Struthio camelus: one gene and its partner. The protein of the gene in region 1 interacts with the protein of each later gene in a biochemical or structural test. Links are inferred from orthologs where the notes say so. Each region holds a gene or a part of one and is shown in the gene's direction. Other genes may lie near its edges. The genes, in order: SPTBN2 and ACTR1A.

The links.
Region 2: the proteins of SPTBN2 (region 1) and ACTR1A form a complex in vitro, tested with the Homo sapiens proteins (2 studies listed by BioGRID). The link is inferred for Struthio camelus from reciprocal best matches to the Homo sapiens genes SPTBN2 and ACTR1A.

The regions. Positions count from the first base shown.
Region 1 is NC_090976.1:454,056-469,109, reverse strand, and holds the start of SPTBN2 (spectrin beta chain, non-erythrocytic 2), read left to right. Parts: upstream 1-9,586; 5' UTR 9,587-9,730; intron 9,731-13,327; 5' UTR 13,328-13,351; coding exon 13,352-13,505; intron 13,506-15,054. Other genes in the region: RCE1 (CAAX prenyl protease 2), read right to left, coding at 1,382-1,549, 1,644-1,722, 1,822-1,905, 2,014-2,116, 2,956-3,164. UniProt on the Homo sapiens protein: Probably plays an important role in neuronal membrane skeleton.
Region 2 is NC_090948.1:15,726,957-15,742,015, forward strand, and holds the start of ACTR1A (alpha-centractin), read left to right. Parts: upstream 1-9,243; 5' UTR 9,244-9,387; coding exon 9,388-9,435; intron 9,436-15,059. Other genes in the region: SUFU (suppressor of fused homolog), read right to left, coding at 5,805-5,995. UniProt on the Homo sapiens protein: Part of the ACTR1A/ACTB filament around which the dynactin complex is built. The dynactin multiprotein complex activates the molecular motor dynein for ultra-processive transport along microtubules.

The DNA.
Region 1 (15,054 bases):
GGACGCAGGGGGTCCGGGGGGGACGCAGGGGGTCCGGGGGGGTCCGGGGGGGTCCAGGTTCACCCACGCCGAAGAAGAGGGGGCAGGCGAGGACGGCGGGGCCCGGCCCGGCGCAGGGGGATCCAGGGGGGACGCAGGGGGTCCGGGGGGGACACGGGGGGGTCCGGGGGGACACGGGGGGGTCCAGGCTCACCCACGCCGAAGAAGAGGGGGCAGGCGAGGACGGCGGGGCCCGGCCCGGTGCAGGGGGATCCAGAGGGGACGCAGGGGGTCTGGGGGGGGACGCAGGGGACACGGGGGGGTCCGGGGGGGTCCAGGCTCACCCACGCCGAAGAAGAGGGGGCAGGCGAGGACGGCGGGGCCCGGCCCGGCGCAGGGGGATCCGGGGGGGACGCAGGGGACACGGGGGGGTCCGGGGGGTCCCGGGGGGGTCCAGGCTCACCCACGCCGAAGAAGAGGGGGCAGGCGAGGACGGCGGGGCCCGGCCCGGCGCAGGGGGATCCGGGGGGGACGCAGGGGGTCCGGGGGGGACGCAGGGGACACGGGGGGGTCTGGGGGGTCCCGGGGGGGTCCAGGCTCACCCACGCCGAAGAAGAGGGGGCAGGCGAGGACGGCGGGGCCCGGCCCGGCGCAGGGGGATCCAGGGGGGACGCAGGGGGTCCGGGGGGGGACACAGAGGACACGGGGGGGGACACAGAGGACACGGGGGGGTCCAGGCTCACCCACGCCAAAGAAGAGGGGGCAGGCGAGGACGGCGGGGCCCGGCCCGGCGCAGGGGGATCCGGGGGGGACGCAGGGGGTCCGGGGGGGACGCAGGGGACACGGGGGGGTCTGGGGGGTCCCGGGGGGGTCCAGGCTCACCCACGCCGAAGAAGAGGGGGCAGGCGAGGACGGCGGGGCCCGGCCCGGCGCAGGGGGATCCAGGGGGGACGCAGGGGGTCCGGGGGGGGACACAGAGGACACGGGGGGGGACACAGAGGACACGGGGGGGTCCAGGCTCACCCACGCCAAAGAAGAGGGGGCAGGCGAGGACGGCGGGGCCCGGCCCGGCGCAGGGGGATCCAGGGGGGACGCAGGGGACATGGTGGGGACACAGGGGACACGGGGGGGTCCGGGGGGTCCCGGGGGGGTCCAGGCTCACCCACGCCGAAGAAGAGGGGGCAGGCGAGGACGGCGGGGCCCGGCCCGGCGCAGGGGGATCCGGGGGGGACACGGGGGGGTCCGGGGGGTCCCGGGGGGGTCCAGGCTCACCCACGCCGAAGAAGAGGGGGCAGGCGAGGACGGCGGGGCCCGGCCCGGTGCAGGGGGATCCAGAGGGGACGCAGGGGGTCTGGGGGGGGACGCAGGGGACACGGGGGGGTCCGGGGGGGTCCAGGCTCACCCACGCCGAAGAAGAGGGGGCAGGCGAGGACGGCGGGGCCCGGCCCGGCGCAGGGCAGCAGCATGGGCAGCATGCAGGCCCGGAAGACCAGCTCCTCGGTGAGCGGAGCCACCACCTGGTTGCGCAGCCAGCGCACGTCGCTCAGGCACAGCGCCCAGAAGCGGGGGTCTGCGGGGAGACGGCGCTGGCACCCGCCCGGCCCCCCCCTCCCCCACCAAGCCCCCCCCCAGCACCCCCCAAACCCCTTTCCGCGTCCCCTTACCGACGAGCACCTTGAGGCCGTCGAGCCAGCGCCAGGGGCAGTCCATGGAGAGCTGGATGAGGGGCCCCAAAAACAGCACCTGGAAGGGGGGGGGGGGAGCGCACGCACAGACAAAGCAAGGGGGTGCTGGGGGGGGTCCCAGCAGCCCCCTCCCCACGTCCCGCCCCCCCCCACCTACCATGGTGAGCAGCAGCGGCAGCAGCGTGGCCGGCACCAGCCCCTCCAGGCGCAGGCCCAGCAGCGCCGGCAGCGGCGTGTCTGGCTGAGCGGCAGCAGCGGGGAAGGGGATGGCGGAGGGGAGGGGGGTCAGCGCCCCCCCCCACCCCTTTAAAATCGCTTCCCGGACGCCGGGGCCCCTTCCCGACCTCACCTTAACGCCCGTCAGCTCCTTCCAGAGCCACACGAAGGCCGGCGACAGCCCCGACACCACCAGGACGCTGGTGAAGCGGCGCTTGATGACGGCCGGGTGGTCGCTGCGGCCCCGGGCGGGTCAGCTGGGGGGGGGGGGAGGGAGGGGGGAGAGGGGGTGCGACCCCCCCCCCAAGGCCCCCCCCAGCAGGACTGGGCTCCTGTAGGCTCCCCTGCACCTTCCTGTGCCCCATAGAGCCCCCCTGCACCCTCCCATACACCAAAGAGCCCCCCAGAGCCCCCCAAACCTCCTCCTGTACCCTATGAACACCCTAGGACCCCCCCAGGCCCCTCCTGTGCCCCATGGGCCCCCCAGCACCCCCCCACCCCTCCTGTACCCCATGGACCCCCCCAGGACCCCCCCACCCCTCCTGTGCCCCATGGGCCCCCCAGGACCCCCCCCCAGGATCCCCTAGACCCCCCAGACCCCCCCCCGTGCCTCATGAACATCCTAGGACCCCCCCAACACCCATCCTGTGCCCCATGGACCCCCCAGACTCCCCCACCTCCCTCCACAGACCCCTCCTGCACCCCATAGACCCCTATAGACCCCCCCAAACCCCTCCTGTGCCCCCCCAGACCCTCTCCCGTGCCCCATGGACCCCCCAGACCCCCCCACCTCCCTCCACAGATCCCTCCTGCACCCCATAGACATCTATAGACCCCCCCAAACCCCTCCTGTGCCCCCCAGACCCTCCCCCATGCCCCATGGCCCCCCCAGACCCCCCACCTCCCTCCACAGACCCCTCCTGCACCCCATAGACCCCTATAGACCCCCCCCGTGCCCCATGGACCCCCCCAGAACCCTCCAGACCCCCCCAGACCTCCGCCCCCCCCCGCACCAGGCCTGCCCCACACGGACCCACCCCCACGACCCCCCGCCCCGGGCCCGGCGCCCCCCTACCGCGGCAGCGGGCTGCCCCACACGTAGAGGCTCCCCACGTAGGAGCAGGCCAGGCTCAGGCAGGCCAGCAGCGCGGCCCAGCACGGCCCGGCCGCCGCCGCGGCTCCCGGGGCTGCGGCTGGACCCGGACCCGCTGCCGGTACCGGCCCGGCCCGGCCCGGCGCCGCCGCGGCCCAGGACGAGCCGCCCGCGGCCTCCGACACCGCCATGGCGCGGCGCGGCGCGGGGCGGGGCGGGGCCGGGAGGCGCGGGGGCGGGGCCGGGCGGCGCGGGGGCGGGGCCGGGCGGGGAGTGGCGGGGAGCGCGGGGGCGGGGCCGGGCGGCGCGGGGGCGGGGCCGGGTGGGGAGTGGCGGGGAGCACCGGGGCGGGGGCGGGGCCGGGCGGGGAGCGGCAGGGGGCGCGGGGGCGGGGCCGGGCGGTGCGGGGGCGGGGCCAGCCGGGGAGCGGCAGGGGGCGCGGGGGCGGGGCCGGGCGGTGCGGGGGCGGGGCCAGCCGGGGAGGGGCGGGGAGCACAAGGACGGGACAGGGCTGGGCGGCGTGGGAGGGGCGGGGCCAGGCGGCGTTGGGGGCGGAGCCTGTCAGCGCGGGGGCGGGGGCATCGGGTGAAGGACGCGGGGACGGGGCGGGGCCGTCAGGCGGGGCGGGGTGATCGGGTGGGCGGGGCGGGGATAGAGCCACACAGGGGGCGGGGCCATCGAGGGGGCGGGGCTAGCAGCTAGAGCGCGAGCGGGAGGGGCCCGGAACAGACACCGGGACCGGGGTGGGGGGGGGCAGGGGCAGCCGGTACCGGGCACCAGCACCGGCACCGGGCTGGAGCGGCGGGCCGAGGGGGCTGGAGGAACTGGGAGGACTGGGGGGAACTGGGACCGACTAGGGGAAGCGGGCCGGGTTGGAGCAGGGGGGACTGGGGGGAACTGGGACCGACTGGGGGAAGCAGGCCGGGTTGGACCGGGGGGACTGGGGGGAACTGGGACCGACTGGGGGAAGCAGGCTAGGCTGGACTGGGTGGGGGGACTGGGACTGACTGGGGGAACTGGGAGGAAGTGGGACTGACTGGAGGAACCAGGCTGGGCTGGGCCAGGGGGACTGGGGGGGACTGAGACCAACTGGGGGAACTGGGATGGACTGGGGAACCAGGGTGGGCTGGACTGAGAGGGACTGGGACCAACTGGGGGAACCAGGCCAGGCTGGACCAGGGGGGACTGGGACCAGCTGGGGTGAACTGGGACCAACTGGGGGAATCAGGCTAGGCTGGACCAGGGGGGACTGGGACCAGCTGGGGTGAACTGGGACCGACTTGGGGAAGTGGGCCGGGTTGGAGCAGGGGGGACTGGGGGGAACTGGGACCGACTGGGGGAAGCGGGCCGGGTTGGAGCAGGGGGGACTGGGGGGAACTGGGACCGACTGGGGGAAGCGGGCCGAGTTGGAGCAGGGGGGACTGGGGGGAACTGGGACCGACTGGGAGGGACCTCGGTGGCCGGCGGCCGCCCCGGCTCTCACCGCGTCCACTCGGCCAGGTTGGCCACCGCCCGCAGCCAGGCGGCCGCCTCGGGGCCGGCCGGGCCCGCCGGCGGGGGCCCAGGCGTCCGGGGCCGGGCGGCGGGCGCCGCCGTGGCAGCCCTCCTCCTTCCTCCCTGCGCGCCGGCAGCGTCCGACGGGCACCCTGCGGCGGGGGGGGGGGGGGGGGGGACAGGAAATTGGGTGAAAACGGGCTGGAAACGGGGACGAGGCCGCGGCGGAGGGGTTGGGGGGGGGGGACGCGGGCAGCGCCGGGCCGGCTCGTCTCACCCGTGGCCCCGCGCCCGGGGCTCGGCGGCGGCCGCTCCGCCTCGGGGCCGGGCTGCAGGAACGTCCCCGGGATGAGCGGGACGGTGACGGGGACACAGCCGGGGTGGGGGGGGGAGACACACACGGGGACGGTGGCGGGATCCCCGGCCGGACCCACCACCGCGGCGGCGTCGCAGGAGGCGGCGGGCAGCCGGCGCCGGCGGGTGACGTCCGTCAGGCGGCGCCGAGCGGCGGCGGCCAGCGCCGCTCCGTCGGCCGCCTGCGGGGCGGGCAGCGGGGTGTCACCGCGTCCCTCCGGCCGTCCCCACCCCGTCCCTCCGGCCGGCCGGCCGACCTGCAGGGCGCGCAGGCAGGCGCGGCGGAAGCGGGCGCTGCTGCTGCTGGCCACGACGTTGCTCAGCGCCTCCAGCGTCACGGGCAGGGCCCGGGCCAGGCGGGCCCGGCTCTGCGGGACGGCACGCGGCGGTGGCGGCGGGTGACGCGGGGCGGCCGCGTCCCGCGTCCCCGCCGTTACCTGCGCCCGGCGGGCCACCTCCTCCAGCACGGGGTGCACCAGGGCCCGGACGCCGCGCTGCAGAGCCGCCCGGCTGCCCAGCAGCGTCTGCTCCACGTGCGACGCCAGCAGGTGCCGGGTCCCTGCGGCGGTGCGGCCGTCACGGGGCGGCGGGGGACGCACACGCCGCGGGGACGCCGCGGGCGGGGAGCGGGTGACGCACAGGCGTCGTAGACCTGGAAGGGGTCGGCGCGGCGGATGAAGAGGAACAGCAGCAGCGTCTGCTGGCGCCCGGCGTCCGCCGCCGGGCCGGGCCGCAGGGCGAAGGCGGCGTCGGGCGCCGCCAGGTCTGCGGGGAAAAGGGAAGCGGCGGCGAACGGGTTGGCGGCCGCCCCCGCCCCACCTTGCCGTGTCCCCCCCCCCCCACCGCCAACCTCAACCCCGCGCCGTCCCCGCACCTTCCTCGCCCGTCACCGCCGCCACCGCCGAAGCCGAACAGCCGAACCTGCCCCAATCCGCCAGCCACGCCGGGTCGCCGAAGAGCCGGAGCCGGCCGCGCGCCGCCGGCAGCCCCGCCGGGTCGTAGCAGAACAAGTGGCGCCGGTTAAGGCGGCGAACGGCACCTGGAGACGAGTCCCGTTCCCCGGCCCCCTCCCCGCCGCCCCCGCCGCCGCCGGGATATGGAGACGGAGGCGAGGCGGGAGGGCGCGTTGGGGTACTGCTCGAGGCAGGGGCAGAGCGCGGCCGCCGGCACCGCGCTCAGCTCCCCGCCGAGGCCGGCGGCGGCGGCGGCCGGCGGCGTCCGCAGGCGGACGGGGGCTCCCGGCGCCGGGTGGATCTTGCGGCACAGCGGCACGTCCCCGGCGGCGGGCGGCCTGCGGAGGAGGCCGGGAGGAGCCTCCGGTGATTTTCGGCTGGTGCCGTTTGGGGGGGATGGCGAGGCAAAGTCCCCCCGGTTGGGGAGGGGGGGGGGACAAGCCGTTTAAACAAGCCGTTGTGACGCCGCCGAGCCGTTTTCCGGCACCTCTCCGCGAGCTTCGGCCGCCCTTACCGCACGAAGTGCTCGCTCCGGGCGAGCAGCCGCGCTCCGCCCAGCTCGCAGATGTTCTCCCGCCTCTCGGGGCTGCGGGGTTGGGGAGGGGGGGAAAAGAGGGAGAAACGGCGTCGAAATCCCCTCGGCCCCCGCCGGCGCGCGGAGGCGCAGAGCCTCCCGGCCCGAAGCCGCGGCGTCACGCAGGGCCGGACCCGCTGGCGGCGGAGAGCGGAAACGGGGCCGATGTAAACGGCGTGGCCCGGGGAGGGGGGAAGAGCGACCCCGGTTTCGGGGAAGCGGGTGCCGGAGCTCCGGGGGTGCCGGAGCGGCGTTCAGGGACCGCGGGAGCCCGCTCACCCGTAGGTGCGCGAGGCCGCGGCGCCGTCCACGCGGTAGCAGTAGTGGAAGGCGAGCTGCAACACAGCGGGGTGGGTTGGCTGGCGGTGGCGGTGGGGGGGGGACCGGCGACCCCGCGCCGCCCCGCCGGCGGGCCGTCACCTCCGGGTGCACCACACTCGTGCCGTGGATGAAGCGCCTCAAGGCGACGCAGCCGGCTCTCAGCGTCCCGGGCGGCGGGTTGAGCTGCGGCGGGGCGAAGAAGAGAGCGGTGGTCGCACGGGCCGGCCGGGCGCGGGGCACGCAGAGGGGCTAACGGGGCAAAAAAACGAAACCCCCCACCCCGAAAAAAGCGGGAGGCCTCTCGTCCTGCTCGTTTGCACCCGATTTGGGGACACGAGGCCGCCGGATGGGCACGAATCCCCCCCCCAGCTCGGCGGCGGGGCCCCGGTGACCTGCTTTAGGCAGCCCGCCCCGGTCCCACCGGCACCCGCCAGCAGAAACGAGGCCGCTATATTTAAACGCCCGCCCCAGTTTCGGCAAAGGGGGGGGGTGGGGGTCCCTGGGGCTCGCCGCGCTCCGTGTCAGCCCGTCCCCGGCTTCCCCTTGCTCCAAGGTCGACAGCCAGCGCCGTGCCGGGGACGGGGGGGGGGTCCCCGGGGGGGGGGGGTGCCGCGCACCTCGAAGGCCGAACGCAGCGGGGCGCCGTCCAGGACGGGCCGGCAGCACGGGGCGGCGGGCGGCGGGGCGGCGCTCCGGGCGCCCCACGGGGCCAGGACGTGGTCCGCGCCTGCCGGAGGGAGAGACGGGCGTCGGGGGCCGGGGGGGAGGAGGCTCCGACCCCCCCCCCCGCCTTTTGCCGGGGGTGGGATGGGGATGGTGGTGGTGGTGGTCGGGGGGAAGTTTTTACCTGTCCAAATGCCCTCGGCGCCGATGGCGGAGCAGATCTCTCCCGCCGCGGCGACTGCGGGAGGGAAGGAGCGAACGTCAGGGCCCCGCGGGGCGCGTGTCCCCCCCCCTCCCCGTCCCCGTCCCCGTCACGCACCGGTGGCCGTGCAGCGGGCCGGGCCGGCGGCCCCCGCGTCCCCCTCGGCCACCACGGCCACCAGCAGGGTCCCGCGTCCCGGCTCGCCGCCCGCCGCCGGCTGCAGCCGCAGCAGGAGCCGCTCCAGCACCTGGAGGGGGGGGGGCAGCGGTGGGCTCCCTGGGCCGCCCCCCCCCCCAATCCCTTACCTGCCCCCCTACACAGGGAATGGGGGGGGTCCCCAACCCCCCCAGGGACCCCCTGCTACCCCAGGGACCCCCCTGAACCTCCCCACGACCCCCTGAGACACCAGGGACCCCCTAAAGCCCCCAAAGACCCACCGGGACTCTCCCAGGGCCCCCCTGAGACCCCAGGGACCCCCCTGAACACCCCTCAGAGATCCCCTGTTCCCCTCAGGGACCCCCTAAGGCCCCCCAGAGACCCCTCTAGGGCCCCCCATTGCCCTTAGGGACCTGCAAAAGCCCCCTGACCCCCTGCAAGGACCCCTTGAGCCAGTGGGAGCCCCCAGAGCCCCTCCCATCTGCTCTCATTCCCCCCCCCAGGGACCCCATAAAACCCTCGAGGGCCCCCCTGGAACCCCCCAGGGCCTCCCCGTCCTCTCCAGGGATGTGTAGGGCCCCAGGGACCCCCTAAAATCCCCAGGGACCTCCTGAGCGGCCCCCCCCCCCAGGGACTCCCCAATCTGCCCTCATCCCCCCCAGGGACCCCCCTGAAACCCTCAGGGATCCCCTGAAGCCCCCAGAGACCCCCTAGGCCCACCATGGAGCCCTCTGGACCCCCTCGGCTCCCTCAGGGACCCCTTGAAGCCCCTAGGGACCCCCTGAAGCCCCCATGGACCCCGGGGACCCCCCCCATCCGCCTCAAGGATCCCCTGAATCCCCCCAGGATGCCCTCGTCCTCCTCAGGGACCCCCTGAAGCTCCCAGGGACCCCCCTGGACCCTCCTGTCCCCCTCAGGGACCCCCTGGACCCCCCTGGACCTCCTCAAGGACACCCTGGACTCCCCCGTCCCCCTCAGGGACCGCTGAAGCCCTCAGGGACCCCTGGACCCCCCCCCCGGACCTCCCCATCCCCCTCAGGGACCCCCTGAGACCCCAGGGACCCCTGGACCACCCTAGACATCCCCAAGGACCCCCTGGACCACCCCTGGGCCCCCCCATCCCTCTCAGGGACCCCCTGAAGCCCTCAGGGACCCCCTGGACCCCCCTGGACCTCCTCAAGGACCCCCTGGACCCCCCCGTCCCCCTCAGGGACCGTTGAAGCCCTCAGGGACCCCTGGACCCCCCCGGACCCCCCCGTCCCCCTCAGGGACCCCCTGAAGCCCCGCGCGCTCCCGCACCGCGCGCACGACACCGTCCGCCATGATCCGCCCCCCCCCCACACCCCGTCCGCGAGCGCCCCCTGCCGGCGGGGGCGGGGCCGACACGGACCCCCCCCCCACATCCAGGACCCGCCTCCGGGCCCCTCCGATTGGCCGCGTCGGGCTCCGTTGCCCGGGCGACAGCTAGCCTCGGCCCCCATCGGCGGGAAAGGGGGCTGTCGCTATGGCAACCGCGGGGGAGCGGGGCAGGACTCCCCCCCCCACCCGCGCGCGAGGGGCTGTCGCTATGGCAACCGCTGGGCAGCGGGGCAGGCCCCCCCCCTCCGCGAGGGGCTGTCGCTATGGCAACCGCCCCTCCCTCCCCCCGCGGCTGCTCCTGGAAGGCGGTAACGGCCCGCGGTCGCCATGGCGACGGGCGCCGGCAGGGCCTAGAGCCGCGTCCCCGGTGAGGTGGGGGGGGAGGGGCCCCTCCCGGACGCCTGGGCCCCCGCCGCGGGGGGGAGGGGCGCGGAGCGGCACCGGGCCGGTTCCCCGGGGCCGGGCCCGGCGCTGAGGGGCGGCGGCGGCGGCCAATGGGGCCCGGCGGGGGGCGGCGTCTGCCGCGGCCCTTCCCGCCGCCGCCGCCGCCGCTCGGCGCTGTCGGGCTGCGCCGCCGCCGGTACCGGTACCGGTAGCGGTACCGGTATCGCTCCCGGTGCCGCTCCCGCTCCGCAGCACCGGAACCCACAGCAGCAGCAGCAGCCCGCGGCCGGCGCCCAGGTAGGACGGCGGGGACGGGAGGTACCGGGAGCGGTACCGGGAGCGGTACCGGTATCGGCGGGACCCACAACCGGCCCCTGCCCCGGCTCTGCCCCCCCCCTCCCGCCGCAGCCCCATAGCGGAGCCCCACAGCCGGCCCCGGGACCCACAGCCGGCCCCGTTACAGCCCCACAACCGGCCCCGAGACCCACAACCGGCCCCGGGACCCACAACCGGCCCCGTTACAGCCCCACAACCGGCCCCAGGACCCACAGCCGGCCCCGTTAGAGCCCCACAACTGGCCCCGAGACCCACAACCAGCCCCGGGACCCACAGCCGGCCCCGTTACAGCCCCACAACTGGCCCCGAGACCCACAACCAGCCCCGGGACCCACAACCGGCCCCGTTACAGCCCCACAGCCGGCCCTGAGACCCACAACCGGCCCCGTTACAGCCCCACAACCAGCCCCGGGACCCACAGCCGGCCCCGTTACAGTCCCCCAGCCGGCCCCAGGACCTGCAGCCGGCCCCGTTACAGCCCCACAGCCGGCCCCGTTACAGCCGCACAACTGGCTCCACTGCAGCCCTGAGACCCCCAGCCGGCCCCGTTACAGCCCCACAACCGGCCCCGGGACCCCCAGCTGGCCCCGTTACAGCCCCACAACCAGCCCCGGGACCCACAGCCGGCCCCGGGACCCACAACCGGCCCCGTTACAGCCCCACAGCCGGCCCTGAGACCCACAACCGGCCCCGTTACAGCCCCACAACCAGCCCCGGGACCCCCAGCCGGCCCCGGTACAGTCCCCCAGCCGGCCCCGTTACAGCCCCACAGCTGGCCCCGTTACAGCCGCACAACTGGCTCCGCTGCAGCCCCGAGACCCACAGCCGGCCCCGTTACAGCCCCACAACCGACTCCGCTGCAGCCTCGGGACCCACAGCCGGCCCCGTTACAGCCCCACAGCCGGCCCCGAGACCCACAGCCAGCCCCGTTACAGCTGCACAACTGGCCCCGGGACCCACAGCCGGCCCCATTACAGCCACACAACCGGCTCCGCTGCAGCCCTGGGACCCACAGCCGGCCCCGTTACAGCCCCACAGCCAGCCCCATTACAGCCCCACAGCTGGCCCTGAGACCCACAACCGGCCCCGTTACAGCCCCACAACCAGCCCTGGGACCCACAGCTGGCCCCGAGACTCACAACCGGCCCCGTTACAGCTGCACAACCAGCCCTGGGAACCACAAGCGGCCCCGGCACTGCCCCACAACAGGCCCCATTACAGCCCCACAACCAGCCCCGGCTCTGTCCCGCTCTGGCCCGGCCGCAGCCCCAGTTCTGCCCCACAACCAGCCCCCTTACAGCCCCACAACCAGCCCTGCCGCAGCCCCATAGCGGACCCTCGTAACTGGCCCCACTGCATCCTTTGGGGCCCCTGACTGGCCCCACTGCAGCCCCACAACCGGCCCTGTTACAGCCCCACAGCACAGCCCCGTTACAGCCCCACAACCGGCCCCAGCTCTGCCCCACAACCGGCCCCGTTACAGCCCCACAGCACCCCCGGCCCTGCCCCACAACCGGCTCGGCCGCAGCCCCGGCACTGCGGCGCCGCCAGCCCCGCTGCACCCTGCAGCGTCCCCGCCGCTCTGCCCCCCGCCCGGCCCCACGGCGCCCCGCGGACACGCGTGGGTTTGGGTGTCCCCCCCCCCGCCCCACGCCTGCACCCGCGTCGCTCCCGGCTGCCTTCTCCGGGCACACGCGTGACATCCTGCGTGCACACGCGTGACATCCTGCGTGCACACGCGTGATTTTTGCATGCACGCGTGATTTTTGCATGCACACGTGTGGCCCCCTTTGCACGCACACGCGTGTGACCTCTGCGTGCACATGCATGGCCCCCTTTGCGTGCACACGCGTGGCCTTTGCGTGCACACGCGTGGCTGGCCCCCCTCTCCGTGCACACGTGCGTCCACCTCCCCCTGCGCGCGTGTGCGCCCAGATCCTTCTCCGTGCATGCGTGTATCCGTGTCCTCGGCACGCGCAGACTCGCCTGGACCCCCTTCTGCGCGCACACACGCAGCCGTGTCCCCCGGGTGCGCACGCGTGCACAGACTCCCCTCGTTACACGCCTGGCTCCGTGTCCCCCGTGTGCACACGTGTGCATGGACTGCCCTCTCCGTGCATGCATGGATCCGTGTCCCCCCGCACACGCGTGTCCAGCCCCCCCGCAGGTCTCCATGTTCCCCTGCACACGCGTGTGCAGCCCCCCCGTGCCAGCAGGTCTCCGTGGCCCCCGCACACGCGTGTCCAGCCCCCCCACAGGTCTCCATGTCCCCTGCACACGCGTGTGCAGCCCCCCCGTGCCGGCAGGTCTCCGTGGCCCCCGCACACGCGTGTGCAGCCCCCCCACAGGTCTCCATGTCCCCTGCACACGCGTGTGCAGCCCCCCCGTGCCAGCAGGTCTCCGTGGCCCCCGCACACGCGTGTCCAGCCCCCCCACAGGTCTCCATGTCCCCTGCACACGCGTGTGCAGCCCCCCCGTGCCGGCAGGTCTCCGTGGCCCCCGCACACGCGTGTGCAGCCCCCTGCGGGGGGAGGGGGGGGCCGAGGGATCGGGGCTGCGGCCCTTCATCCGCAGCCGTAAGAGCATAAGCCGCGGCGGCGGCGCGGGCCGGGCTCAGCGGTAATCCGGGGCCCGGACGCCGGGGCCCCTGGGCGGGGGGGGGGGTGTGGAGCTGCTGCGGGAGGGGGGCGGCAGTGGGGCTTCCCCGGACGCCGGGGCCCCTCGGGAGGTCACCCGGACGCCTGGGTCCCCCAGGCGGCTGCCCGGACGCCAGGGCCCCTCGGGGGTCACCCGGACGCCTGGGCCCCTCGGGGTGCTGCCCGGACGCCTGGGTCCCCCAGGGTGCTGCCCGGACGCCTGGGTCCCCTCAGGGGGTCACCCGGACGCCGGGGCCCCTCAGGGGGTCACCCGGACGCCTGGGTCCCCCAGGGTGCTGCCCGGATGCCGGGTCCCCTTGGGGGGGTCGCCCGAATGTCTGGGTTCCCTCGGGGGGTCACCCGGATGCCTGGGTCCCCCAGGGTGCTGCCTGGACACCTGGGTCCCCTTGGGGGGTCGCCCGGACGCCTGGGTCCCCCAGGGTGCTGCCCGGACGCCGGGGCCCCTTGGGGAGCTGCCCAGATGCAGGAGTCCCCAGGGGGCTGCCCGGACGCCTGGGCCCCCTCAGGGGGTCACCCGGACGCCGGGGCCCCTCAGAGGGTCACCCGGACGCCTGGGCCCCTCGGGGGGCTGCCCGGACGCCTGGGTCCCCCAGGGTGCTGCCCGGACGCCGGGGCCCCTCAGGGGGTCACCCGGACGCCTGGGTCCCCCAGGGTGCTGCCCGGACGCCGGGGCCCCTTGGGGAGCTGCCCAGATGCAGGAGTCCCCAGGGGGCTGCCCGGACGCCTGGGCCCCAGCGGGATGCGGCAGAGCCGGGGTTGGGGGGGGGGGAGGGGGTTGCAGCCTCCCCCCCCTCCCCCGCAGGGCTGCACCTGCGCAGCGGCAGCGGGTGGGGGGGGGGGAGGGAGGGCAGCCCGGACGCCTGGGCCCGCGGCGGTGACGGTGACAGGCGGCGGCCCACAGGCGGCGGCGGCGGCGGCCGGGACCATGCTCTCGCCCACGGACTACGACAGCCTGGAGATCCAGCAGCAGTACAACGACATCAACAACCGGTGGGACGCGGCCGCCGCCGCCGCCGACTGGGACAACGAGAACAGCTCGGCCCGGCTCTTCGAGCGCTCCCGCATCAAGGCGCTGGCCGGTACGGTGTGCGGCGGCGGGGGGGGGCGCCCGGACGCCGGGGCCCCCTGGCCGGGCGGCGGGGTCACCCCGTTCCGGGGGCCCCGGCGTCCGGGCGGGCTTGGCGCGTCCCGGGGGATCCCCTGTGCGCGACGGGGACCCAGGCGTCCGGGGGACCCCGCTCCACCCGTTGCCCTCGTTTGGGGGCCCCAGCGTCCGGGGGACCCCGCTCCACCCGCTGCCCCTGTCCGGGGGACCCCGCTCCACCTGCCACCCCCAGACGCGCGCCCACACAGACAGGCACACAGACACACGCAGACACGCGTGCACACGCAGACACGCACGCGCAGGCACATGTGGACACGCACGCGCACGCAGACGTGCACGCGCAGACGCGCAGGTGCGCACACATGGGCACGCGTGCACACGCAGCCACGCACAGGCAGACACGCACGCACAGGCAGACACGTGCACACGCACGCACAGGCAGACACACACGCAGACATGCACATACAGGCAGACACGTGCACACGCACGCACAGGCAGACACACGCACACGTAGACATGCACGTACAGGCAGACACGTGCATACGCACGCACAGGCAGACACGCACGCACAGGCAGACACACGCGCACACACGCACGCACAGGCAGATACACACACGCACAAGCACAGGCAGACGCGCGCGCACACATGCACAGGCAGACACGCGCGCACAAGCACAAGCACACACGCATGCACACACACACGCACAGGCAGACACACGCGCACACACACACACAGGCAGACACACGCGCGCACACACGTACGCACAGGCAGAGGCACAGGCAGACACGCACACGCGTGCGCACACACGCACACACAAGCAGACATGCACACGCGCACACACAGACGCACAGGCAGACACATGCGCGTGCACACGCACGCACAGGCAGACACACACGCACAGGCAGACACACACGCGCGCACACATGCACACACAGGCAGACACACACACACACAAGCACAGGCAGACACACGCGCGCACACACACAGACACACAGGCAGACACACGCGCGCACACACACACGCACAGGCAGGCACACACACATGCACACACACACACACACAGGCAGACACACACACACACACACACACAGACGCACAGGCAGACACGCACACGCACACACACGCACAGGCAGACACACACACACACACGCACACAGACGCACAGGCAGACACACACGCGCGCGCACACACGCGCGCACAGGCAGACCCACGCGCACACGCACCGCGCGCCGGAGCGGCCCAACCTGTTTTTATGTAAATGGCCCCAGCGCCTCCCTCGGCCGCCCCGGCGCTGCCCGAGCTCCCGGCTCCCGCGGCGCCCGCGTCCCCCCCGCCGCCGCGTCCCCCCCGCCGCCGCGTCCCCCCGCCATGGCCCACCGCGCGCCGGGGCCCCCCGCGGCCCCCGCCGGCCCCCGCCTCTCCCCGAGCGCCGACGTCCTCGAGGGCCGCTTCAAGCAGCTGCAAGGTGAGAGCGGGGCCCCCCCCCCCGGACGGGGACGGGGACGGGTCCCCCCCCGGGTGA
Region 2 (15,059 bases), on another chromosome or scaffold:
CAAAAGCCTAGACACTATCCCTCTCCAAGACAGTACCCTTCTCAAAGTCCCATCCAGCAACAGAGAGGAGACCCTGACAAGCGTTTCAGTCCTCTGTCTGTAACCAGGCTGCTGGTAGTACAGCTAGAGTTACACCTACCAGCTTCAGAAAACAGGTAATCAACGCAGAACGGATTTAACCCTTACCTTGCACAGTTATTCCTAGATCAGATTCACTGAGCACAGCAATTCCTTGAGGCTCATTTAGAGACCCTCGAGACTACAGGAGTGCTTCAGAGCTATGACAGTTACCACTGCAGAACATAAGCATTAAAGCTGCTCTTCCGATTCCGCACAGGCCTCATCAGAGCTGCAGCATCTGACCACCTTCATCTCCATCACCAGGTTTCCTATTGTTTCCAAAAGGCACTTAGAAACTCTCGAGGAGTTTCCTAGTGATAGTGTTACACTATCCAAAATCCTCTGCCCAACTTTGAAGTTTCTTACTCAGCAAAAGAAAGAAAGTCTTCATCTGTCTCATGAATAGCTGCAGAACCACCATGGACTTTCGTATTTGGGAAGCTGAACAAGGAAGGAGATCCTGATGAGGATTTTCCCACAATTAGGGCAGCTATTTTCTGTGCAGCACCTCTAGAGGGGCAAGCGGAAAAACGCACAAGCTGAGCACAGTGCCTTCCTACCTATAGCCTAAGGAGACCAACAGAGCAACGAGCATATTTAGGGTACATACCAGCAGGAAAAAAACACATTAGAATTGGATGAGTATTTAACCTAGAAGGATCTAAAAGCTGCCCATATGGTGCAAGACAGACAGCTTCCAATGACATGATCGATGCATTGCTTTTACAGCATCACCAAGCTCCTCAGATATCAAGAGGGGTACTTCACAAGAGAAGGGAAGATGAAAGCACAGAACAACAAACACAAAGAAATTCCCAACCGTTTTTAAAGATATACAAAGTAATATACCAGCTTGTTGTAGTAAAAGGCTTTTATGAAACAATGACAGTGAATCAGCTGGAAAGGCCTGCGGGCTCTCTCAGTGAGTGCACTGCCTCCCTCTTATTACTGCAGAGGGAGAAAAAAAAAAAAAAAGAGTAGGGTTATTTAAGACGTGTGACTTTCCTTAAAGTAGTTTCCCTCCTCTAAGCCACATAAGGCCATTGCAGGGACTCTATGCCAGCTCTAGCTCCCCAGCTGGTCAGTCAAGGATGCAGCCCAGGATACCACAGCAAGAGAGAAGACGTGAGCCTCCCACTGCGAGCAACTAGACAGAGTTCAACTAGGCAAGGGCTAAGCCATAATTATGCAGCCTTTAGGTTCTCATATAACAGGAGCACTTTTACTGTGTAAAAGGTAAACTGGAAAGCAAGCATGGGGTATGCATGTTAGGCCCTGGGATGGAGGAAAGTTCAGTCCTCAATGGCAACCTGTAAAAACCCATTCTCCTAAGTCTTGTGGTATCTTGAAGCACTTAGGGGGGGAAGAAAAAAGAAAACTAGTCCCATCTGACATTCCCCATCTCCACCTGTACTTCACTTTCCCTCCTACCATCACCAGGTTGCATTGGAGGCGGTCTGAGGTCTCTGTAGTAAACATTCGGCCAGGTGGTTATGTTCAGAGTAGTGGCACTGACCCTCTGGCCAACTCTCAAACTCCACATGGCAATAACTTCTAGCACAGTAATGGGGACGCAGCCAGATGGAAGTGATCATAGCCAGAATGCAGTCACACTCCTCCTAGGAGCAGCCAAGCACAGGGTCTGTGTACAGTTGCCCTATACTTTGCATGCATGCAGAGCACCTTCGCTCCCAGAAGCACTGAGGGTGTCCAGGCCATCTCCCTAGCTCGGTATTTGCTAAGAAACCCACGTGGAAAGCTGCAACAGTTTATTTTCCCCCGTCTCTCGCTTTAGAGCTCCATTTTGTGCAGGACAGAAGTGCAAGGCCGTTCTCCTGAGGAAAAGGAGTGACACAGACACATGAATTCCTCGTGAATGGCAACAGTCATGCACAATTATGCAAAGTTACCTGATTGGGAAGACTCCAGAGCGAGAGAGGTCAATATAATGACCAGCAAAACAGTGTGGGAGGTTAGCTAGTGGCTGGAGCAGATGAATAGGATTTGCAGTGAGGGGAAAACACCTCCACCTGCTACACAACAAGTTTCTCCTGCGTGCATAAAACCTGCTCCCAAAATGGGTTTAATAACACCCTAGACACCAGATGATTCACACTGGAACATTGTTTGCTGACACAAGGCATTTTGACACTCTGACAACACACAAAACAAATAAACCTTTAACTGACCCCTTTTCAGGGCAGGGACTTCTCTGCAAGCACGCTCTTCCTGAGGGCTTCTCAAATGGCATTCTTCAATCAGACGCAACAGTGAGCAAATTCTTCCTAGACTGCACTAGGCAAGCCAGACATCCCTCCCTCATCCCCGCAAGCAACCCTGTACTTCTCAAAAAAACATCACACCTCTCATGGGATCAGCAGCATCAAACTACCCAAGATCCAGGTGCAAAGACACTGCACCAACTGCCTTAGGAGAGCTGAGCTCTGCTTTGTGTAGAGCAGACCTGGTCAGCTAGCCACATACCAGCTTACACACTACACAGTAATCCAGATGGACCACGTTTATTCCCCACGAAATCTGGTAGGCTTGGAAGTGATTCAGATAAAGTAAAAAGTCTGCAGCAGTAACCTATTTAAAAAAATACATAAGCATGCCATAGAGCTATGCTGAAATCACTACAACCACAGGAGCACCTAGCACTAGCTTTAAGCCAGTTACCAGGAGGACAGCTAGTAACGTACCCATGGCAGCAGAGCTCAGCCAAGGCTAGTCAACACAGATATTCATCCAGTTTCATGGGCAGGTTTGCCTGCTACACTACCTCCTCAGGCACTGCTAATGCCTGCTCTGGTACATCCTCCCGCCTACAGTCACTACAGCGCTGTTCAACCTCGTATCACAATCTACATATCTACATATTGTACATACATACAAAGAGCTAGAAGGGCTGGAGGATTTTATTCAGAAGAGCTAAACTTCAAAGCTACAGGTACAGTACAAATTTGCTACATTCTCTACTCATGGAGCTCATTTAGGAGCAAGAAGGGCAGCCTCAGGGGAAATACGGTATTTGTATCTGCATGAAGAATCTTCTTTTGACTGATGTTAAGAGTGCTCTGAAGTCTCTGCTGGAGCAGAAACCCAAAGTGGGCAGAGGGGAAACAGCTCCACAATGAGAAAAACATTGGGAAATCCCCAATCTGTTTACACCCTGAAAAGTCTCCAGGGGATCCTTTATAACCATTTCCAGCAGCTGACAACAGGTCTTTTCTTCTCCACCACCTTTTGCCAGCCCTTCAGGAATGGTCCATGATCCCCAAGTAGCTGCAGAGCACAGGTCAGAGCACTGCTTTTCAACTACACAGCCCAAGTTCAAGGCAGATGATGAAAAAACAACAGTCCTGCCTGAATTCTATGTAATTCAAAACCTATCACAAAGTAATGGAAGTATAAACTTGCTTTTTCACTTGTAGTTCTGCGCATCAAGATATTCCACTTCAGAGGCATTCAACCACATTTTAAAAGCAAACACTGGTATTAGATGGCAACGGAAACTAACTCCTTCTCAGAGCGTAGCCTTTCACAGCCAGGAGCTTTTGCAAGAAGCTCTGACTGCAATCAAGAACTCTCTTCCAAGATATGCAAATGGTGTTTTAAAAAAAGATCTGCTAATTTCATGAAATCATTTGTACGGCCAAATCCCTTCATTTAACAGGTATGTATGTGACTCTGTGGATCCTCCAACTTTATGAAGTAAGGCATATGCTCTGCCATGTCAGCCCAAGAATATAATTTCAACTCCCTGAACAAAAACTTGTTGCTAACCGTAGAGAAACTGATATGTGTTATTAAAAGCTGACTAGCTTTATAGTATTTCTCCTACAGCAAGAAACTTTGTTCAGCAATTTCCTTTTTCAATTTAAACCATGTAATAGCTCACAGCTCAAGCAAAGGAGGATAGACTAGTTGAGAGCAAGCGGTGGCAGAACTCATTTATCAGACTTAACAAAACCAACCTCCTAGCTTTGCCAGCTTTGCCAACAAAAGGAGAAAAAGTCTCAGCAAAGTACATGCATACTTGACCTCACATAAGTTTCCTGCATGTGACAGCAGCAGTAAGGGCACCTCTGAGATTCTGCGACAGAAGCTCTCAGTTCGCACTGCCAGCTGAGATGACAGTAGGAAGAACCGTTAAGCAGAAAATGCTAGTATAAACAGGCCTTCATATTACTTCTTGCATGCAACCTATCATCACTGCCAATAGCAGTTTTTCCAGTGTTTGAGCTCCCAAATGCAATGAGGTCCTAATCAACCCCTTAAGCAAACAGGAAGCAAGGATTCCTCCTGAACAAGGGTCTCTGCCATTCCTCATTATAGACTCAAAACTCCCTCCATCCCGTACATATCTTACGTCACTCTTGCCAGTAGTATTTTAAGCTGTTGACTCCTAAACCAAAATGACTGGAAGACTCACGAAGCTTGAATATCTAAGATTAGATATTGCAAGTGCCTACACAAATTGAGCTGACCATCACTGAAGTACCACAGTACTGGCCTGTATGAATGATTAAGAAGTAATTTTTATTCCAAAATCACAGAGTTGCAAGATCTCCTTGTCTCAGTCCACTATGCCAGTTTAATGAGGACTAACAGCTACATTTCTTGACCGGAACCTCATAAGGAGCAACACTCATCTGGAAGACATCAGCAACGGCTTGCCTGTCAGAGCAGAACACAGGGAGGATGTTATTCTGTTGCTGCTTAGGATGCAACAACGGGATAGAGACACACACAGGTTAAAACTTACTGTAAATAAAGAAGCTGAGCTTTTGCTAAACTTTTTCAAAGTGCTGGAAGAGATTGGTCAATGTCAGGGCCAGGAAACAGTCAGTGGTGACCTGATCGTGTTCCTTGGGTCCAGAAGAGGGGGCTGAACAGCAGAGCTATAGTAAAAAGCATGAGGGACTCCTCTTCCCACAGGGCTAGACGCTAGACACTTATCTCGATAGCTAAACATCCGAGTGCTTCCTTCGTGCCACTCTCCCACATAAACAACTGCTGTTACTGGTGTCAGACACTGTGTCAGCAGCGATGGGAAGCAGCAGATCCTCAGCCTACGACAACACGTGGCTCTGCGAGGGCAAAAGAAGCTGATTCTCTCCCAGGGTGGGGGGGGGGGTTTATGGGCACACACCGCACGCGTTTGGTTTGGAGGCCAGAGTGCAGGTTCATCCTGGTCAACTCTGGCCGTATTTGTACCCCAGGCTCCAGGTCAGAAGAGGAGTTTGCGCTTCGTGTTCGGCAGGAGACACGCCAGGACCACCCAGCTCTCTGCGGGAGCCCCTCTGTTGAGGGAAACTTTTCCCATGGCCTCTGCCCCAGCCAAGACCCTCATCAGCCCCCATCCCTCGCTCAGGGAAGCTCCACATCACCCTAAAAACCCCAATAACATCACCCACCCTCAGTCCAGTCCCCTAGACCCCTGCTCTCCAGGGCCTCCCTCCCCCGCCCCCTTGCACCCCACCGGCTGCCTCCCCGCACCCCACTGCTCCCTCCCAAACACCCTTCAGCCCCACTACTGTCACTCCAACCCCCCCCCCCGGGCCCCAAACTCCCGCCAACCCCATGCAACGTCCCCCAGCCCCAATGCCCCCCCTGAGCCCTCTCCAACGCCACACGAGGCCCCCAGCCACCCCCCCCGACGCCGGCCGCGGCGGCCTCACCAGTACTTGAGGATGGCGGTGACCTGGAGCGGGTTGGGCTGGTCGGGGTAGAGGCGGCGGCACTCGCCGTAGATGCCGTGCAGCCCCGGCGGGAAGAGCGACGGGAAGGACCCGGACCCAGAGCCCGAGCCCGGCCCGCCGGCAGCGGCGGCGGCGGCGGGGGGACCCCCGCCAGGCCGCACACCCTCCATGGGGGACGGCGCGGCGGAGGCGGCGGCTGCTCCCGGCGCGGCCCTCGCCCGCTCCCGGCCCCGACGCGCGCCCAGCCCGACCCGACCCGACCCGGCCTGGCCCGGCCCAAGCGGCGCGGCGCTGCGGGAGGAGGGGCGGGGCGGGCCCCGCTGCCCCGGAGACCGTGAGTGGCAGGCGGCTCAGCCAATGGCGCTGCCGAGCGGGGCGGGGCGGCTACGCCTCTTCCCCCTCAGCGCCCCGCCTCGCCCCGCCGCCGCGCCGGGGAGACGCGCGTGCGCCCTCTAGCGGCGGCGGCGGGGCGGGGCCGCGGGGGCGGGGCGAGGGCCCTGTGGGGGGCTGCGGGGTCGGGGGGGGGTGAGGCGCAGAGCTGCGTGTGGCGGGGTGTGGGGCCCTGTGGGGAGCGATAGGGTCCTGTGGGGGGGGGGGTGAGGTACAGAGCTGCTGTGTGGGGCCCTGTGGGGAGCGATAGGGTCCTGTGGGGGGGGGGTGAGGTACAGAGCTGCTGTGTGGGGCCCTGTGGGGAGCGATAGGGTCCTGTGGGGAGGGGGGGTGAGGCACAGAGCTGCTGTGTGGGGTGCTGTGGGGAGCGATAGGGTCCTGTGGGGAGGGGGGGTGAGGCACAGAGCTGCTGTGTGGGGTGCTGTGGGGCCCTGTGGGGAGCGATGGGGTCCTGTGGGGAGGGGTGAGGTACAGAGCTGCTGTGTGGAGAGCTGTGGGGAGCGATAGGGTCCTGTGGGGAGGGGGGGTGAGGCACAGAGCTGCTGTGTGGAGAGCTGTGGGGAGCGATAGGGTCCTGTGGGGAGGGGGGGTGAGGCACAGAGCTGCTGTGTGGGGAGCTGTGGGGAGCGATAGGGTCCTGTGGGGAGGGGGGGTGAGGCACAGAGCTGCTGTGTGGAGTGCTGTGGGGCCCTGTGGGGAGCGATAGGGTCCTGTGGGGAGGGGGGTGAGGTACAGAGCTGCTGTGTGGGGAGCTGTGGGGTTGTATGGGGAGATATAAGATCTGAGCAGGAAGGGAGGGTGAGATACAGAGCTGCCATGTAGGCAGCTCTGGGGTCTGAGCGGGGGTGAGGTCCGGACCTGCATACGGGGAGTTATGGAGTCATGTGGGGAGGGGTGAGGTACTGAGCTGCCATGTGGGGACCTGTGGGGCCCAGAGGGGAGCTGTGGGTCGGGGTGAGGAAGGGCAGCCGTGCCGTGCAGGGCCGAGGAGTGGAGGTTGCAGGTTCCTCTGTGAGCCCAAGGGAAGGGAGCCCTGTGGGGCAGGCCTCGGGGGAGCCCCATGGCAGGGGGGGGGGGGCAGGCCTCTGTTTTCACCAATTCTTACAGCACCTTTTTCACCCCTTCTTTTATTTATTTATTTATTTATTTATTTATTTATTTATTTATTTATTTATTTATTTATTTTAGGTACCTCAGAGGCTGTTGTTAAGCAATGTAAGCGCAAGGGATGTCTGATCGAGGGTTTTACCCTGCATGCTCAGGGCGCTGAGGTCTGGCCTCTTCCTGGGTTACAGCTACATCTGTGGTCCTGCAGAGCCTTCCTTGTGTGTATATGTGAGCTTGCATGTGTTCAAGAACCCTATATGTCTTTGCAGGAGCGGTGTACTGCTTTTTAATCAACATGGGGAAGACTGAGCTATAGAGCACTGGGAGGTGAGAAGGAGTGCTCCTGCTTGTTGTGTTTCTCACTTAATTAGTTGGAGAGACTTTGCTCCAAAATCAATATTCACAACATACCTTTTAGGTGATCACATATAGTCAAGAAGTTGGCAAAGAGACAAGCAGATGATTATACCAGGAAAGGAGGTGAGCAGCTGGTATTTTCATGAATCATTGCTTCCTGCAATAACAGTATTTCACTTGTCCTGTTACCGTGATACCACTTTTTGTGACATCCATCTGAGAAGTCAGTTATAGTCAACTGAGAAGATAAATATGACAAACAGAATCATGTATGAAATACTTTGTTGGCTTAATATACGTAATTAGTCTCTCTTGGCATTTAATGAGGTGATACAATACTGTCCTTGAAATAATTTAAAACCCTCCATCCTGTCGTACCAAATAAAGTTCTTTTGCACTAAATGAAGGATAAAAATTACTAAAACAAGATAGTTAGCTGAGATGAGAGTATCTGCTTGGGTTTGAGGCAAAAATCACAGAAGAAAAGTCTTAGCGTCTGCATGAGAGATAGGGGGCAAGATGGGCTAGTTCTGAAATAGCTTTCATATACATTTACTGGCTTTGAATAACAACACCGGGCCTTGACGTTAGTTAAAATGCACTTCAGAGTTCAATGTATACTTTGCAAACATGTCGTTTTAGTGTCATGATCAATCATCAATTATTCAGAATGTTTTTAGAGAACGTGAAAATGAATGGAAAACAACAGTGAGCATATTATTTAATGTGAGAATGCCTATTACGTATGTTCTTGGTACCAACACTCCTTTTCTGCTTGCTACATCTCAAAAATACAGAGAAACTAGTTGATGTTCAGAGAGAACTGATGCACTATGACCAGCAGTTTACTGAAATGGTCTCATCAAATAACTAGCAGCAGAATGCTTTTATTATAGTGATATTCTTTCTATAGAGGGTCATCTTTTGTTTGTTTTTCTGCTAGTATAAAAATTGAAAAAAAAAATCTATTCAACTGAAAAGTGGTTAATTGAAATTTGATAAATTTTCAGAGAAGAAGATAGTTAACCCCTAGAATGCACAACCGCAGACGTCAGTAAGTAGAAGAGTACCAAGAGACGGCAGGAACAGTTGCAAAATGGTATGGGTAATGTTAGGAAAATCTGCTTTTTAATTAACTACAGTTATCACTTACACTTGAAAGCAAATTTATTACTGATGGGCTTGGGAATACACCTAGCAGTGGGTAGGGAATTTCACAATGGTATATTTTCTTTTTCTCTGGAGCATTTGCTCCCAGAGGCAGAGCAGCAGGCGCCCTGTGCCTTTGGCGCGGCTGCATTTTTCTGCGTTTTTCTTGCAAAGATGCACGAAGGAGGAACAAAATAAAACCAAAGGGTTCTCAGACTTCCATTTCAGTTGTGTCAAAAGGCAGCTTCAAGGGTTTGGATGTTTCTTTTTTGCTTTTCTCTCCTCCCGTTGCGCGGGTTTGTCATCCTCGAAGCAAGCGATCGCGCCGGGGGCTCTCGCGGGCATGGCCCACCCGGCACTACATCTCCCAGCAGCCCCCTCTCCTGACGGCACTTCCCGTGAGGCCTCGGGGCGCCGCGCGGCACGAAGACTACAATTCCCAGCACGCACCGCTCCTCGGGAATACATCTCCCAGGCGGCTGCGCGCCGCCCTTCTGTGCATGCGCCGCCGCGGCCCGGGCTGTTGCTGCCTGGCTGCTGGCTGCGGCGCGTCCTCGCCATGGAGTCCTACGATGTGATAGCGAACCAGCCCGTCGTGATAGACAACGTGAGTGCGGGGCCCTGCGCGCCCTGGGGACAAGGCGAACAGGCGGGAAGGAGCCGCGGGCGGGAATCCCTTTGTCACCGGAGCCCCGCCCCGCCGGCCCGCTCCCCCGCGGCAGCCCCCCCGGCTCGGCCTCCGCCTTGGGCCCTCGCCCGGCGCCGGGCCCAGCGGGCGTGCTGAGCCGGTGGGCGGGGCCGCCGGCCTCCCCCGCTGTGCGATTGGCTCCGGGGCCTGCCCGTCACAGGGCCGCTTACTCTCGCCGGTAGGGAGCGGTCCCTGCCGCCGCCGAGGTGCCCGGTCCCCGCGATGGCGGAGCGGCCCGATTGGCTGGCGCGGCTGTCAGTTACGGCCGGGCAGCCCGCTAGTACCTGCTTCAGCGGGGCGCGTCCCGCCCCACCCTTGCAGAGAGCACCTGTGCCCATTGGCTGGCTGGGCTGTCCGTCAGGAGCGGCTCGGGATTCCCCCCCCCCCCCCGGCCTTGTCCTCCTCTTTGTGCCTGGGGGACAATGGGGAGCGGCGGCCCGGGGGCGCCCTCTTCTCCGGCGCTGCCCTAGCAGATCCCGGCGGCAGGGCAGCCGGCGGGGCGCCAGCCCCGGACCGCCGCCTCGCCGGGTGCCCACGCGGGCTTGCTGGGCGGGCCGCTCCCTGCGTGGGTTGCATCAGCTTGGCTTTGACAGTGGGGCGTGGTGCCGCAGGTGACTGATGCGGGCGGATGGTGCCCCTCCTTAGCTCAAAGAAGAGCTTCCGCCTGGCTGGGTAGCGTATGAGGTGAATGAGGGTGACTGCATGCGCTGAGGAGATATTTCTGAGTCCAGTTCTGGTTAGTCCCCATCCAGACTGGCCTCCCAAGAGGACGGACTATCCAGGAAGGGCTGGGAGGAGGGAAGGCATGGGGTAGTTCGGAGGGAGCCTCACTCAGTGTAGTGAGTCACACATTCATACTCCTCCCTCCTGACCTCTGCTGCCAGTGATTCAGGTTTTCCTGTTTCAAAGGGTCAGTGCTTGTGCTCCCTCCTTTCTCCATCATCTTATTTACTCCTGAATCGTTTTGCCGTGTGGCATGTGGACTTGCTACCCTGGCACTTCTCAACCTAGTCCTTTTTTTCATGAGCTGAGTGAATGTAGGTCTTCTAGGATCAAGCCAATTATTCTTCTGACCTTTTCTTTCTTTATTATTGATCCCAATTTCCGCTCTACCGCTTGAGCTCTCTGATACAGTTTTGTTCTTGTGTCTTCCTCTGGAATTGCAGCAGTGAGATTTAGGTTAGACATCAAAGAGAACTGTCTAATGGAGAAGAAAATTAAGCAGCAGAATAGACTGCATTGAGAAAAACATGGCACTTTCTTTATTGGAGACTAAAGAATAAGTTAGGTTGATGCTCTTAAAACTAGCTGGAGTAATATCAACCCTGCTGTGGTGCTGGGTGACCAGCTAAGCATTTTAAGTTCTCTCCAGGTGTAACGGCGTTGTGAGGATGAGTTTGTTGCGAGAAGTCATATAGCAGCCCATATCTAATTTCAGTCTGTCCTTGCATTACTCAGTGCAATGATTGTTGTCCCTGCTTCAGCTCTGAAGAAGGGCTCGTGCTAGAAAACTGGTCCATTTCTTTTCTCATTTTATCAGCTGGTCTTATAAAAGCTAATAATTCTTCTTGCCTCTCTGATAAATGAATTTTCCCCTTCCTTTTCCCGTACAAGAGGTATAATGAAGCAGTTGTGCGATCTGCCCTTAATGCTGGCAAACTCTCAGCTGCAGAGCTTCGTGGTGACATTGCATTTTTGGTACTCTCATGAGTTAAGGCAAGACGGGAAGTGGAAGCTGCACAGAGAAAGTACTGCTGTTCGTGCTGCCTCGTGAATGCTTTTCCTTAGTGTTGCAGGCGACTTTTCAAGGCTGAATGTCATCCCGTCTCTTATGTGTATGGGAGGGTGGGAAGGGGAAAATGAAGACTGAGCTCGTAAACAAGCCGGATCCTGCTGGTCCCAGCCCTGCTCTAGTATCTCAGTGTGTTCCAAAGGGACATCAAGGAATGTGGCTAAAACTTGGATCAGACTTTCTCATGCCAAACAGCAAGCTCAGCTTCATATTTCCAACGGAGAGAGTTTTGCAATGTACAGTTAGAGCTTGGAGCTTCCCTGCAGTACAGCCTTAACATTCCTTCTTTTCCAGTAAGTTTTTTTTTTTTTTTTTTTAAAAGAAGACTTGCGTTCCCATCTTGTACTCCAAGAAGTTCTCACTGAAACAAATGGCTTGAGAGACCCGATGGACATAAAGAACATGTTAAGAGATAGCATAGTTCAGCTGTGGCCTAAGCAAGTGCAAATTCCTTGACCTCCGTGGAATTGTCTTCACTTATATCAAAGAGGATAAAATTTGGCTTTGTCATCTAAGTGGTATCATTTTAAACAGTTGAGCTGTCACTACAGAGTATTGTATCTTTCATTTGTTCTTATGAAATGAGCCTCTAGTAAAATAGTGTTGTAAGAATATGAAATGTAATTGCCTCATCAAAAGTGCTGCACAGCAGATTGACTTTCTTGGTAATTTCCATTTAAATTTGTGTCCTAAACACATGAATGAAAACGAATGAATCAATAACTGAGTCAGCTGCAGAGCTAGCAGAAGGGGCATGTTCAGGTACTTTAAGGTGAAGGAAGACAGTCTCAAGGAAAACTCTCAGGAGCATCTTAAAGTTTTTTTTTTTTAATGTAATTTCTTTCTTCTTTCATTCTTCTGCTCAGATACAAAAACAAAAAAAATCATACAGGATGAAAGCCCAACCAGGATATGTTCTGGTGGAAGGATGTTAATTTTGGAGTTCTTTTAAGTTTTAATAAATCAGAACTTCTAGCAGAAGCGAGGATGCATGGTATTTGGTTACTTGAAAGAAAGGAAAAAAACGGATCTTTATTTTAAACTTTTTCAATCAGCCAGAGTCATTTCAACACTTAAACCTTTTCCTCTCGTTATATGGGAATCTCAAACTGGGCAATAATAAATAGCTTTACTCGGTACGCACACATCTTCAAAGAAGTAAAATGTTTTCAAGGAAAATTGAATAGGTCAGAAAGCACTGTCACATCTTTGTAGTGCGGGGAGAGCAAACAGCTGTGCTTGGGTTATTCCCAGGCATTTGGAAGTGCAACTGTGTTTGAGTTCTGTCCTACCGGCATATTCAAAAAGTCATTCTTCTTTAACTCCAGCTAAGCATTCTGAACTACTGACACATTTGGTTAACTTTGAACTTCAATATGTAAATCTAAAAATGCGTAACTTGCTGGGAATCTCACCAGGACACTATGGGTAACTTTTGGCCTGGCATAAGGAAGTTTTGATTGCCCTGTTAAAATAGGAGCATCATTGTTCTCCTGAAACTACTTCCCAGCAGCAGGCTGTGCTGGCTGCAAGATCAGTCATTATCTGGAATGAGATATTCAATAAGCACAATATTCTGGTGTGGTTTTGTTCCTGCATTTGATTCAACTTTTTGCTACGAGGCTTAACAAAGGATGACTTTTTTTTTTTCCCCTCCCCTCAGGTATAAGGATTGTTTACAGACTGTGGTGAGGAAACTCGGAATAGTATTTTTGTGTTCTTGAATCATTACTTCGCTTTGAAGTGAATAGCCAGAAGAGAGTTCGTCTAAAAGGATGACTTTTAACACTTTACAGGCCGCTTTGTCACATCTGTGCATGTTAGTATAGATATTGGAAGAGAAAGCTGGAGCGGAGTCCTCCTTGCCTAGAGGGAGTAGTCCTGCCCTGGTACCAGCTTGGTTTGCCCTTGGAGCCAGCGTGGCTGCAGGCAGTTATCAGGGCACGAGGATTCAAGCTATCTGCTTTTATACCTTCTATAACTAGCTGCGTCTGGCTTGCAGAGTGTTCCTGATACTCGTCCCTCACAGATGGGTCCTGGCAAATCTCACTGGCAGTTTTAAGGCAGGACTGCACCAGCTGGTTGCCCAGCCCTGGTGGCAGAGCGCGCACGGTCTGTACGAAGCCTGGCACCTCAGCTGAAACTGCTGACAAAAGTGACCGGTGAATAAGGCGCAGGGCTGTGAACTGGAGAGGCTGGGGCTGGCTGCATTTCTTTGTGCTGAGCCTGCTCTGGCTGGTAACCTCTGGCCCTGGCGTGGGGCAGGGAGCTGGGATAGATGGGTCAGAAACCACTGCAGCGAGAGTTGCCAGAGTCTTTATGGCAAAGCCATGAGCAGGTTGTTTGACCTGTGAGTGAAAGTAGTGATGCTGACCCACACAGAGGTGGTGAGAAGGGAAGAGTCATGGAGGAGCTATGTTGCTATTCATTTTAAAATGCTGTGGGGCAGCCAAAATGTCTTTCTGGTTTTGTAAACAGAGCAGTCCTGCTGCTGAATCCTTGAGAGTGAACAAGCACTTCATTAATGCAAACTCACATGCTTCGCTCCCAGTACAGGATAAAAATGAACTGCTCCCCTTTCTGCAGAAGAGTTCGCGCCCATGGTAGTTTGGGGTTATCAGTGAAATGACTTATCTGAGGAGGTCCCATGAAAGTCCACTCCTCAGTGAAACTTGTGTGTTCCTGTGCACTGATCATTGTTTCAAGGTGTCATTCCTCTGTGCAAGGAGGGGAAATGGAGGAGGGAGAAGGGGTCTGCACAGACATACATTGATTATTGGGTTCCCAGGATCCCTCTAGATGATACCAACAGGGACAGAAGCTGTGGGGCCAGGTGCTCAGCGCTTACTCCCTGCCAGGGCCTCTCTGCAGCTGGTTTAACTTGCTCTGTGTTTGGTGCTTGCACTACTTTGCAAGTTCCAGAAGGCTTCTGGGAGTCGCTCCTGTCTGGCTGCTGTACCACACAATTTGTCTTCTAATCTCTTCTTCCTTGTCCCTTTTAAACAAATAAGCCATATCCTGTCAGCTGCTTTTTCCTGCCTCCAGCCCTTCCTCTTGCAGTCTGACCGGGACCTTTGTTGCTTCCAGACCCTAGTCCAGTCTAGTTTCCAGTATCTTTTTCTGATCGGACTTCCATGACCTGCCTCGTTAGCTTTTTCTAGCTTGTCCACCACCTGAACTTCTTTTCCTTCCAACCTGCTTCACATGATCGTTTCCCACTCCCTTCTCTGACTTTATCTACCCTCCTTCCATCTTCTCCAAATCTGCTTCTTCTGAGAAGCCTACAACCTCCATCCTCCCCTTCTTAGAAGTAGCCCCTGGAGCCATCCAGACAGTCAAGGTTTGGCTGCTGTTGCTAGACTTTATGAAATGCTCTTCTCTACCCGGAGAGCATTTAAGATAAATTGGAAAACTGCAGAGCTGGGATTTAGCCCGGTGGGCCTCCTGGATCCCTAGCACTTCATATAAGCAACAGCACTGGGGACTAAAATGTTTGTTGTCTGTTGGGAGCAGCTCTGGGGTGCGCACACTGAGCAGTACTGGGCACCCTGGGGTGATCAGACTGGAGGTGCTGTGCTGCTGCCAGGGAAGGTGCCAGTTAGTCCCCTCTAGTGGCCAAGCTGGCATACTGGCACCTTCCCATCCCCAACCCAGCTTGGAGAATTCACAAGAAGCTTTATTGCTGATAAAAAGGAGAGGATCTGGCAAGTCTGATGTAGTTTGCTGCTCTTTTCAAACTTGTGAAGATGAC